3 linked regions of the Bombyx mori genome follow. The protein of the gene in region 1 binds, or shares a complex with, the protein of each later gene. Links are inferred from orthologs where the notes say so. Each region holds a gene or a part of one and is shown in the gene's direction. Other genes may lie near its edges.

The links. Proteins that work in one complex are often made in the same cells at the same time.
Region 2: nucleosome-remodeling factor subunit NURF301 (region 1) and chromatin assembly factor 1 p55 subunit share a complex: the UniProt entries of both Drosophila melanogaster proteins name them as parts of the NURF complex. The link is inferred for Bombyx mori from reciprocal best matches to the Drosophila melanogaster genes E(bx) and Caf1-55.
Region 3: nucleosome-remodeling factor subunit NURF301 (region 1) and uncharacterized protein LOC101741235 share a complex: the UniProt entries of both Drosophila melanogaster proteins name them as parts of the NURF complex. The link is inferred for Bombyx mori from reciprocal best matches to the Drosophila melanogaster genes E(bx) and Nurf-38.

What each region holds. Positions count from the first base shown.
Region 1 is NC_085116.1:8,932,204-8,936,219, reverse strand, and holds the start of nucleosome-remodeling factor subunit NURF301, read left to right. Parts: upstream 1-1,216; 5' UTR 1,217-1,988; coding exon 1,989-3,003; intron 3,004-4,016. UniProt on the Drosophila melanogaster protein: Histone-binding component of NURF (nucleosome remodeling factor), a complex which catalyzes ATP-dependent nucleosome sliding and facilitates transcription of chromatin.
Region 2 is NC_085109.1:4,082,580-4,085,564, forward strand, and holds part of chromatin assembly factor 1 p55 subunit, read left to right. Parts: coding exon 1-158; intron 159-672; coding exon 673-790; intron 791-1,053; coding exon 1,054-1,184; intron 1,185-1,518; coding exon 1,519-1,696; intron 1,697-2,297; coding exon 2,298-2,390; 3' UTR 2,391-2,985. UniProt on the Drosophila melanogaster protein: Core histone-binding subunit that may target chromatin assembly factors, chromatin remodeling factors and histone deacetylases to their histone substrates in a manner that is regulated by nucleosomal DNA.
Region 3 is NC_085115.1:3,623,170-3,626,669, reverse strand, and holds part of uncharacterized protein LOC101741235, read left to right. Parts: intron 1-1,965; coding exon 1,966-2,027; intron 2,028-3,251; coding exon 3,252-3,361; intron 3,362-3,500. UniProt on the Drosophila melanogaster protein: Component of NURF (nucleosome remodeling factor), a complex which catalyzes ATP-dependent nucleosome sliding and facilitates transcription of chromatin.

The sequences.
Region 1 (4,016 bases):
AGTGTAGAAAAAAATTATGTGTCCATTACCTTTGGACCAAGCTTTAGCCTAAAACACAACCTGTTTTGCCGATAGAGTAGACTAGTCGACTAGTGTAAACATCGCTCGCTAATGAATAAGTGTATTAATGTATTATAGTTCAAGCAGCGCTCAGTTCGGGCTGAATATGGGCCTATTATAGGACCATTGTTTTGTAATAACCGATCTTGTGTTTATAAACGTATTTATATTTTATTTATTTATAGGTAATAATAGGATTTGTTTGCTTTTGCCCTGTTTTTTGATACAAATTAATGGTCACTATAGCTATGATCTACGTTTCCTTTATTTATCCATAGATCAATGGACAACTCAAAACAATACCTCTGTGAATTTTCAAACTATATTCCGAAATTGACAATTTGTATGTAAACCGTAAAACTGTAAAATTCTTAGTCTAAAATATAGGAAAAATAGGTAGTTATTGCTTCATAAATATGGTTATGCATTTAATTTGACTATTTTATACGGTGTCGGCCTACAACTCTGGATCGGGGTGTTGAAGCCCTTCTATATGGCGTTACATGCATTCCACTGGATATCCCAATGGGTCAGAACAGAATCGGGGAGTATGGCCTTTCATCGTCTAGATGGTTTTTCGCAAGACGTGACTTTAGTCTCCTCACTACTCCCAAAATCGGCACACGAAGAAGACCCAACATTTGATCTATGGGGGTCACATCAGATCCCTATTCTGGCATACCTATATTGTGCATCATAGGGATCGAACGTTACACACTACTACCAGGCATGCAAATACAAGTCGGTTGATTTGCACGACAAAGTCAATACGCTGTCTCAGAAATATTCAAATAAGTAAACAGTAATTGTTTTTTCGTTTGATTCAAAATTCAAGCAACCTATTTTATTATTTAAAACAGATCGACACATTAAAATAATACAATGACATATCCTTCTTTACTATACTTTTTTTTTACTAAAATGTCGAATTCTTCTTGTGGCATCTTATGTGGAAACCCTTTTAAGCCCCTAGGGTTAAAGTGAATCTGGCATCAGCAACGAATGGAATTGTTTCTCAAACTTAAACTAAGTTTCTGTTTGATTTTTGGTCGAATTCTGACATTTTATTATTATATTTATGTATTGTGTTATTACGTATACATTACGTCCTACAAGCTATGCTTGACATGCCTAGAATCCTGAAGTAAAGCATTCGTAATGTTGGTATAATGAAAATCAATGTTTATCATAGACAAACTACATGAAACTTCCGGCTAAATTATTCTTTAAGCGTCTAACACGTCTGTTTGAAAAGAAATTATGAATATTAATAACTATCATAAATAATTAAATTTTAACAAAAATTGTACTTACATAGAAATATGGTGATTGAATATTAAAAAATATAATAAGACACATTAGTGATTGTTCCGTGGAAGTAGAAAATGGCCGCGTACCAAGTGATTTAGTTATATTTTGAAGTTGCTGTTATTAGCGAGTATTATTTGTATGAATGAAAGTAGATTTTTATTGACTTACAAGTAATTAAAGTTTTATCGGTGTCTAAATCATTATCTTATATGTTAGGAGATGTCAAGAATTTCATTTTACAACAAATTACGAAAACGATATGGCGTCTCGTTAATCGACCAATAGGAAGTCGGTGTTTAGCGTTTTAGAATTGCATGTATTAGTTCTAGCCCTCGCGTCATTGCGTTTTCGATGTGTTGGGCAAATTTGTACATCTCTAATTGATTTTCATTAAGTGAATGAGTTGACATTTCATTTTATTGTGAAAAACTTTGTAAACAGTAACCAATTACGGACATATAGTGATACATTTCATGAAGCATCATAAACGCCTCCGAACATGACAACGTTGGGCTTTGGATAAACTGAAATGCATTATTACCGTGATTGTGTTTTTGTAAACAAAACTATGTTTTCACGGTGCACGTGCTGGAAAGTGTACAATTGACAGCTCAATTATGTCAGGAAGGGGGGCAAAAAAACGCGGGAGGCCCCCAAAATCTAGTAGTTTTGAAAAAAATAGAAAATTCCAATTTCATTTATTGAAAAAACCAAAATATTTGCAACAAAATGCTGTGAACACTTCTATGATAAACACTCCGTCGGCGTCTAGAGCTTCTTCACCTCAAGGTAGTGATATTAGCAGAAGAAGTACGAGAAAGCGAAAAGATCGTAAAACACATAAAAGTAAAAGAGGCGGAATATCCAATTCTTACTCGAAACGGGGTTATAATCCACAGGCAGCCGATTACCATGAATCTGAATATCATTACGGTTCTGACTTTGGTGATGAGTATAGTGACAAATCCGAGCTCGAAGAAGAGCGCGGTAGTGAAAGTTCAGAAGGAAGCGAAGATGGTGCGGCGACCGATAGTGATTTTTCTGTGAGCAGCTTTAGTACAACGAGTGGAACACCGCGAAAAACTAATACTATAACAAACAGACCTCCCAGTCCTGATCCATTGTGGTTGCAACAAGGAAGACAAATTCCACCCTTAGATTTACCACCTTCATCAGATGATCTAATTATACCCCAAAATTTAGTCTTTCAAGTTGTAAGTGTATATGAAGTTTTGCGACATTTCAGACACTTAGTAAGACTGTCTCCTTTTCGCTTAGAAGATCTTTGTGCTGCTATAAGCTGTGAAGATCAAAGTAACTTGCTGATTGAAGTACATATGATGCTACTTAAAGCATTGCTACGTGAAGAAGACGCTCAACAGACTCATTTTGGACCTTTAGATCACAAAGACAGTGTAAACATTACATTGTTCTTATTAGATGTCATGACATGGCCAGAAGTTCTTAGAATTTATGTGGAAAGTGATAAAGTTTTTGATCAAAATGTGATTAAAATTTTAAACAGTTGTGAATATCCATTTACTTCAGTAGAAAATCGTTTAACAGTTCTTCAGTTTCTGTGCAATCAATTTTTAATAACCAATCCTGTCCGTGATGATCTGTTAAGTGAAGGTAATTTTTTTGGTTTTCAAATTTAAGACTTTTTATTTTATTTTTTATTGCGTAGTTGGGTGGACGAGCTCACAGCCCACCTGTTGTTAAGTGTAGCCCATAGACATCTACAACATAAAGGCCGGCACCCACCTTGAGATATGAGTTCTTAGGTCTCATAGGTATAGTTATGAATGTAAGAATAGTTTCGGTTTAAACATTTAATATTGTTGTAAAAATGTTTGTAAAAAAAATTAAATAATTATGGGGATTGGTCATTGCTACTTATGTATACGAGAAATAAAAGAATTAATTTAAATTTTACCATGTACTTTAACATTGATATTTTTTGTCATACTTACAAAAACAAAATTGGCCCTTTCTTACTCCATAGAGAAATGGAAATAAACATACTTTTTAATATATATACAGTCAAAACCGTTTACTGCGACATCGTTTAATACAACATACCGGTTATAATAACCAAGAACAAAGGTCCCGGCTGAATGCCATATGACCGCCTTATTAAAAATATTGCTTTATACGATATTGGTAATAACGACATACCTCATAAAACAACCACATTTAACTAATATTTCGGAGAATTAGATCTGTTAGAACGACCGGCTGAACTGTTTTGTAAACAATTTGAATAGGTATCCACATTTGTCTTCAATGGCTTTTAAAATCAGGAAAGAAAACAATAGGATTTAGTTTAGTGTAGGGTCTTTTCTAATTCTTAGAAACAAAACACGTGCATGCGATAGTCAAAGCCCGCTTCTTCATATCTCTTCAGTTAGTTTGTTACTTATCTATACACAAGACGCACCAAAACTTTGTAGAGTTATTCGTGACATTTTCAAAATGTCGCAAAGAAAAAGAAAACAAATTAATATTGAAGAAAAATCGCGTATTATGTAAATATATTTTTCCAATAATTCCCTATCGATTTGTTTGTACTTGCACGATACACATTAAACATCACCGGTTGTTACGACTATCGGTTTTTACGACTGAATATGAGCAGTCCCTTC
Region 2 (2,985 bases), on another chromosome or scaffold:
GACATCAACGCGACGCCAAAGGAGGGGCGGGTCATCGAAGCGAAGTCCGTGTTCACCGGCCACACGGCCGTCGTCGAGGACGTCGCGTGGCACTTGCTACACGAGTCGCTCTTCGGATCCGTGGCTGACGACCAGAAACTGATGATATGGGACACCAGGTAACACCAACAACTAACTTTTTGAGGTTCTTTTTTATTGCCCCTTGTAGGCAGACGAGCATACGGCCCACCTGATGGTGAGTGGTTACTGTCGCTCACGAACGTCGGCAACGCGTGGGGCAGAGCCCAGCCACAGCCTACCATTTGAAAAGTTACAATTGTAAATATAAAACATTATAAATGAGACAAGATCAAGACATACTGATTATGTAATTGTGAATTGTACAATACTTATTAACTAAGAGACCTATTTAAGACAATCATGATAATAAAATCATTAGTTTGAATATGAAAGTGCTTTTCCTATCATGGCATGATAACACAAACAGGAGGTTGTTTTCACATATTTCTGCAGATAACTTGTATTTGGTATTGACCTTCATTACTTGTTAATAATTACCTTTAATTATTTTTTTATGATATAATGACACATTTCGTTTAAGTGTAATAATGAGGTATGCATATATGGTAGTAATAATTAGTAAAATAGAGCACAATTATGTTGTAATTACAGATGTAATAATACATCGAAACCATCTCACACAGTGGACGCACACACCGCTGAAGTTAACTGCCTCAGTTTCAATCCCTATTCAGAGTTCATTCTTGCTACTGGCAGTGCGGATAAAACGGTAATGTTACTAATTTTAATTCAAATATACACATCTAACAAGTCAAAACTTCCATAGCGTTTTGCTTATTATTTAATTGTAATATTTATATATCAATTTTTTGTAATTTAACGAAACTTGTGTTCACAAGCTTTGAATTCAATCAGCTCATGATACACTGAAAAATGAAACTACAGTTTTAATATCATAATAAACTAAATAATAAATAGCCTATCCTTAATAATAGGTTAACTACTATAACTATAAATATAATTTCCGTCTAGGTTGCGCTTTGGGATCTACGCAATTTGAAATTAAAGCTACACTCGTTCGAGTCGCACAAAGACGAAATATTCCAAGTACAATGGTCGCCACACAACGAAACTATTCTCGCGAGCAGTGGTACCGACCGAAGGTAAAATTACAGATAATTGAATTTTCAAACTTTTTGTTACATCTTGTGTACAGACAAGAACTCTCAAAATAATAGTATTAAACGGTAGGTAAAATAAAATCAACACCCATAAAAAAAACAGATATGGAATTGAAGTTGCAAAGTAAATATAAAAGCTCAGACTTCTTGTGGGCTTACAGCCACTTTTTGGGCTGATTTTAAAAATCGTAAACATGTACATCTAATTTTTACGCTTTAAATTTGGGAAAATGCACAATACTCAAGAACTGGGTTTGCTGATTGCTGTACGAGACAATAATTATTATGAAAGTTACTTCATTACTTGTTTTTTTAGACTCCATGTATGGGACTTGTCAAAGATTGGCGAGGAACAGACAGCTGAAGATGCAGAAGATGGACCCCCAGAATTATTGTTCATACATGGAGGACACACCGCTAAGATATCTGACTTCTCATGGAACCCTAATGAACCATGGGTCATCTGTTCCGTCTCTGAGGATAACATTATGCAGGTATGCTAAAATTATAGGTTGAATGTTTTTAGCTTAGATAGGCACCTTTTGGGAGAAAGCTGTCAGAAAACATTAATATTATAGTTGATCTTAATGCATAAAATATAATTGCTTTGCTAAAATATAATTTCTCCCTAGCACATAATTATTTATTGGTGTTAGAACTTCTTGTGAGTACACGTGGGTAGGCACCACCACCCTGCCTATTTCTGCCGTGAAGCAGTAATGCGTTTCGGTTTGAAGGGTGGGACAGCCGTTGTAACTATACTGAGACCTTAGAACTTGTATCTTAAAGTGGGTGACGCATTTACTTTGTAGAGCTCGTCCACATATATATGCCATAAAAAAAAAAAAAAAAACTACAAATCTAGGCTATTTGATAAATATTTCGGCACATCATCTCGGATCCTTCTAACAGTGCTTTTAGGTACCCCAAGCACCGGTCATCGTTCTTGTCGAACCCGTCGCTTGCGACTCACTGAGTTTCTCGCCGGATCTTTTCAGTCGCGGTTCAGACTTGGTGGTAGCTTCTTAGAATAGGTAGAAAAAAAATATATATTTGGTATTTGTTGTACATTGATTCGGTGCGGTATCTGTACAGGTGTGGCAGATGGCTGAGAACATCTACAACGACGAGGAGCCGGAGACGCCGGCGTCGGAGTTAGAGTCGGCCGTCAACGTCAACCACGGCTAGTCGTCCTGTCTGTACGACTCATGTGCTCTGTGGAGAGTGTGAAATAACAACATTGTTTAACATTCACTTTTTAATCGTTAATCTGTGAGATAACTCTGCTACAACCGAACAATAATGGGGTACAAGTTTTCGGAACTGTTCTTAGTTCTATAGAATTTTTATCATGTAAACGTTATACAAAACACTAAAATCTTGTTGGAAAAAATGACATTTATTAAAATGCTTTGTAAATATCATTATGAAATTTAACTAACTAATGATCTGCTATTCTAGCTAATTATCTGAGTTTTTTCGAAATATTACAAACAGCATTTTTTACTTCTAATTGAAATTACCACAAAATTTTATATTTTCAATATTTAAATGCAAAAAGTTGTCCCGTTTTTCATACTTTTCAAACTATTTGACAGTAAACAGTATATTAAACATACAAGTATAGATGTAGTGAGAAACTATTTTCCTTCGGGAAAACTCTTGATCTTTATCGGAATACGATGACACCCGAACTGTCAATGAATGATCGTATTAAATGAGTGACATTTTCATATCCATTAATAAGGAACTTTATTGTTTAGTCTCAAATGTCAAAATGACA
Region 3 (3,500 bases), on another chromosome or scaffold:
AAGCTATTGCTTCACCAGTTCTTATGTTTCAATATTCAAAGTACCGTTTATGTGTCTGTCACATTTATAACTTATTATAACCTCTTTAATATTTATATTGTAAATTATATAGAGGTTACATAAGTACTAAACACCCAGACAAATAGCAAACAAACCTGTTCTTCACACGAATTTTTACTCGATGTGGGAATGTAACCCACTACCCTCTTCCCAACAGTCATAGCTGCCAGCTACTGCACCACCGAAACGTAATCTCAGTAACTTAAATAAAACTTGATAATCGTTTGGCCTTATTCAGCATTTAGCAGAAATCTGAAAAACTTATCGTTTTTTTCTACCTAAGCCGAGAGCCTTGAGAGGCTATATCAGCGTAGCCTTAACTAGAAGGTGAGCTCACGGGGCTCAAACCTGACGACGTTGCTAACACGAACCCTAGCAAGAGCCGTGGTTCGCAGAATCTACCGCCGGATCGGAAACGCGACCCACTGAGAAGATCGGCGAAAAACTCAGTGGACTGTGTCTGAGGGTTAATTTACTCGTCGAGCCCTAGGTCGCAAGCGACGGGCTCGACGAGAACGATGACCGGCTTAAATTGCATGGATATATTTGTTTGGTGACAACAATACTAGCGACAGGGCTCTTTTGCCAATCACTACCGCATTTGATACATTTTGACCTTGTTAATTTGATTGCGAACCGGTTTGAATGTCCTAAATCAAAGAGTAGTTTTACGTTCTCCTCAAACTTAATGTGGCAATGTTTCGGTATGTATCGAAATCAGTGATAGCCTATTGTGTTATATTCGTAAGCTTACGCAGATGGGAGAAAATGATTACGGCTTATAAATCGCCAGAGTCGAAAACATCATTATGTTGAAGCCATCCGACATGACGTTAAAGACTCAATAGTAAAACTGCTGTCGCATCTTTGAAACCACTTCGACTGCTTCGCGGTAAAAATAGGCAAGATGGTAGTCTCAACCCGGGTGGGTTATCCATACAGCCCATCACCAGTAAAAACTGGTTATCGATCGCATCAAGCTGGTAAATTTTTTTATTGCTTAGATGTGTGGACGAGCGCACAGCCCACCTGGTGTTAAATGGTTACTGGAGCCCATAGACATCTACAACGTAAATGCGCCACCCACCTTGAGATATAAGTTCTAAGGTCTCAGTATAGTTGCAACGGCTGCCCCACCCTTTAAACCGAACTGCTTCACGGCAGAAATAGGCAGGGTGGTGGTACCTACCCGTGCGGACTCACAAGAGGTCCTACCACCAGTAAAAATCTTCTTTTACTATAGCAACGGAAAGAGGGTAGTGCTATATTAAGCCTGTAAATGTCGAGCCTCGCTAGGTTAATGAACTCGGCTACACGACCGGTCACCGTTAGATATTGAGGATCTATAAAATTCTTAATACAACACGAAAAAAACATTAACGTTTTTAATTAACAATATCGATTTTAACCATCGTTGATAGAATACGACCGCGTACATGCTCGTGTTCAGATAATATTAATGAGTTTAATATCAAAGAGAAAAGCGATTAAAAATCTATTTTGCTTGTGAAGTTTGAGGCGGAAATTGAAAGTGTATCGAATGAATAATGCGATCGTCCGCTGTCATGAAATGTTTCGATACGTTTTCATATCTAACTAGCTGACCGGGCAGACTTCGTAGTGCCTCAATCAATAAAAGACCTAAACGTTTGTATAAAATAAACTTAAAACAAACAAAACGGAATCCGTCTGACGGGGGACACATCAAAGAAAAAACAAAATTGTTATTTTTATTTAATTCCGAGCATTTTCATATTTATATACCTTTTAAACCTTCTCTGAACGTCCACAAATAATTCAAGACCAAAATTAGCCAAATCGGTCCAGCCGTTCTCGAGTTTTAGCGAGACCAACGAACAGCAATTCATTTTTATATATATATATAGATTTGAAATCGTTTAACAGGTTCACGAATTTTGGAAGAGTCTCATCAGCGGCAACGTTCCTGACGCAACCGATATAAACAAGTACGTGTAAATAGATTTGTTTTATTGTTTGGACGTGTGGATTAGCTCTTGTCGGTTCTGGTATGGGTACCGGAATACATGTATATTAACATTTTTTATTTTTATTTATTACTTAGATGGGTGGACGAGCTCACAGCCCAAATGGTGTTAAGTAGTCACTGGAGGCCATAGATATCTATAACGGAAATGCGCCACCCACCTTGAGATATAAGTTCTAAGGTCTCAGTATAGTTACAACGGCTACCCCACCCTTCAAACCGAGACGCATTACTCCTTCACGGCAGAAATAGGCAGGGTGGGGGTTCCTACCCTTGCGGTCCTACCACCAGTAATTACGCAAATTATATAATAATTTTGCGGCTTTGATTTTTATTACACGATGTTATTTCTTCACCGTGGAACTCAATCGCGAACATTTGTTAAGTACATATTCCATTAGAAAAATTGGTATCCGCCTGCGGGATGCGAATGCGTTAGCGAACGTCTGATCCTTTAGGCCACGACTACTTAAGCCAGCTGCGGATCGCGATTTTTTTTTTTATTGCCCTTGTAGGCAGAGGAGCACACGCCCCACCTGATGGTTAGTGGTTACTGTCGCCCATGGACTTCAGCAATGCCAGGGGCAGAGCCAAGTCGGTGTCTACCGATCTTGAGTCAGTGGTAGTTGCATTCACGAAGCAGCTGCCATCGAGCTGTTAGGTCTCCTTCGCAGCTATTCACAGATCCCATTTCTCCCGGTGAAACTGGAAAGGCCTTCAATAGGTCATCCTTTTTTTTTTTTTTTTAACGCTGGGGAATCCATTTACGGATACTCGGTCCGGGGGGGTAACGAACCGGGTTATGTCGGACTCCGGCGCCTCCTGAGAGGAAGAGGGGGACGAGAAGGTCCCCGAATTCCTCGCAAGAGACTACGCCTTGAAAAAGGCGCGCGAAGCACTTGCCCCGCAGAACGACTACCGACTAAACCCCATCGAGCTCCACCACACCGGCTACACCAGACCTACGGTACCGCAGTGCGCGCCGAAAGTCCGCCTTCGCCGGTACCCGTCCTGATGATAAGACGGGAGTTCATCTCCGGGAAAATCCCGAAGGACGTCATTTCGGGAGATATACCGTGGGCGGCGCACAGGAGCCACCTTGCACCGCCCCACCACTTCAATAGGTCATCCTTCCCAAAATCAAATGTTTTGCGGTGTATCTCATGAGAATGTATCTCGTTCGCAGAATGAACGTGTCAGTGAGCGGCAGCGTGGACCGGGCGGAGCGCTCCGAAGCCGCCGCGGTGTTGGCGAAGGCTCCAACGCTCGGGCAGCCCGCCGCCATACCGCAGACAGGTAACCGCACATCTCTATACTCTCCTTTTTTTTAAGGGATTTTATGACCTGGTAACTAAGACCTTTAGGTCATGTCTTATTTTAATTTATATTCTAATTTTTATGAATAACTAGCGACCCGCCCTCGCTTCGCTTCGGA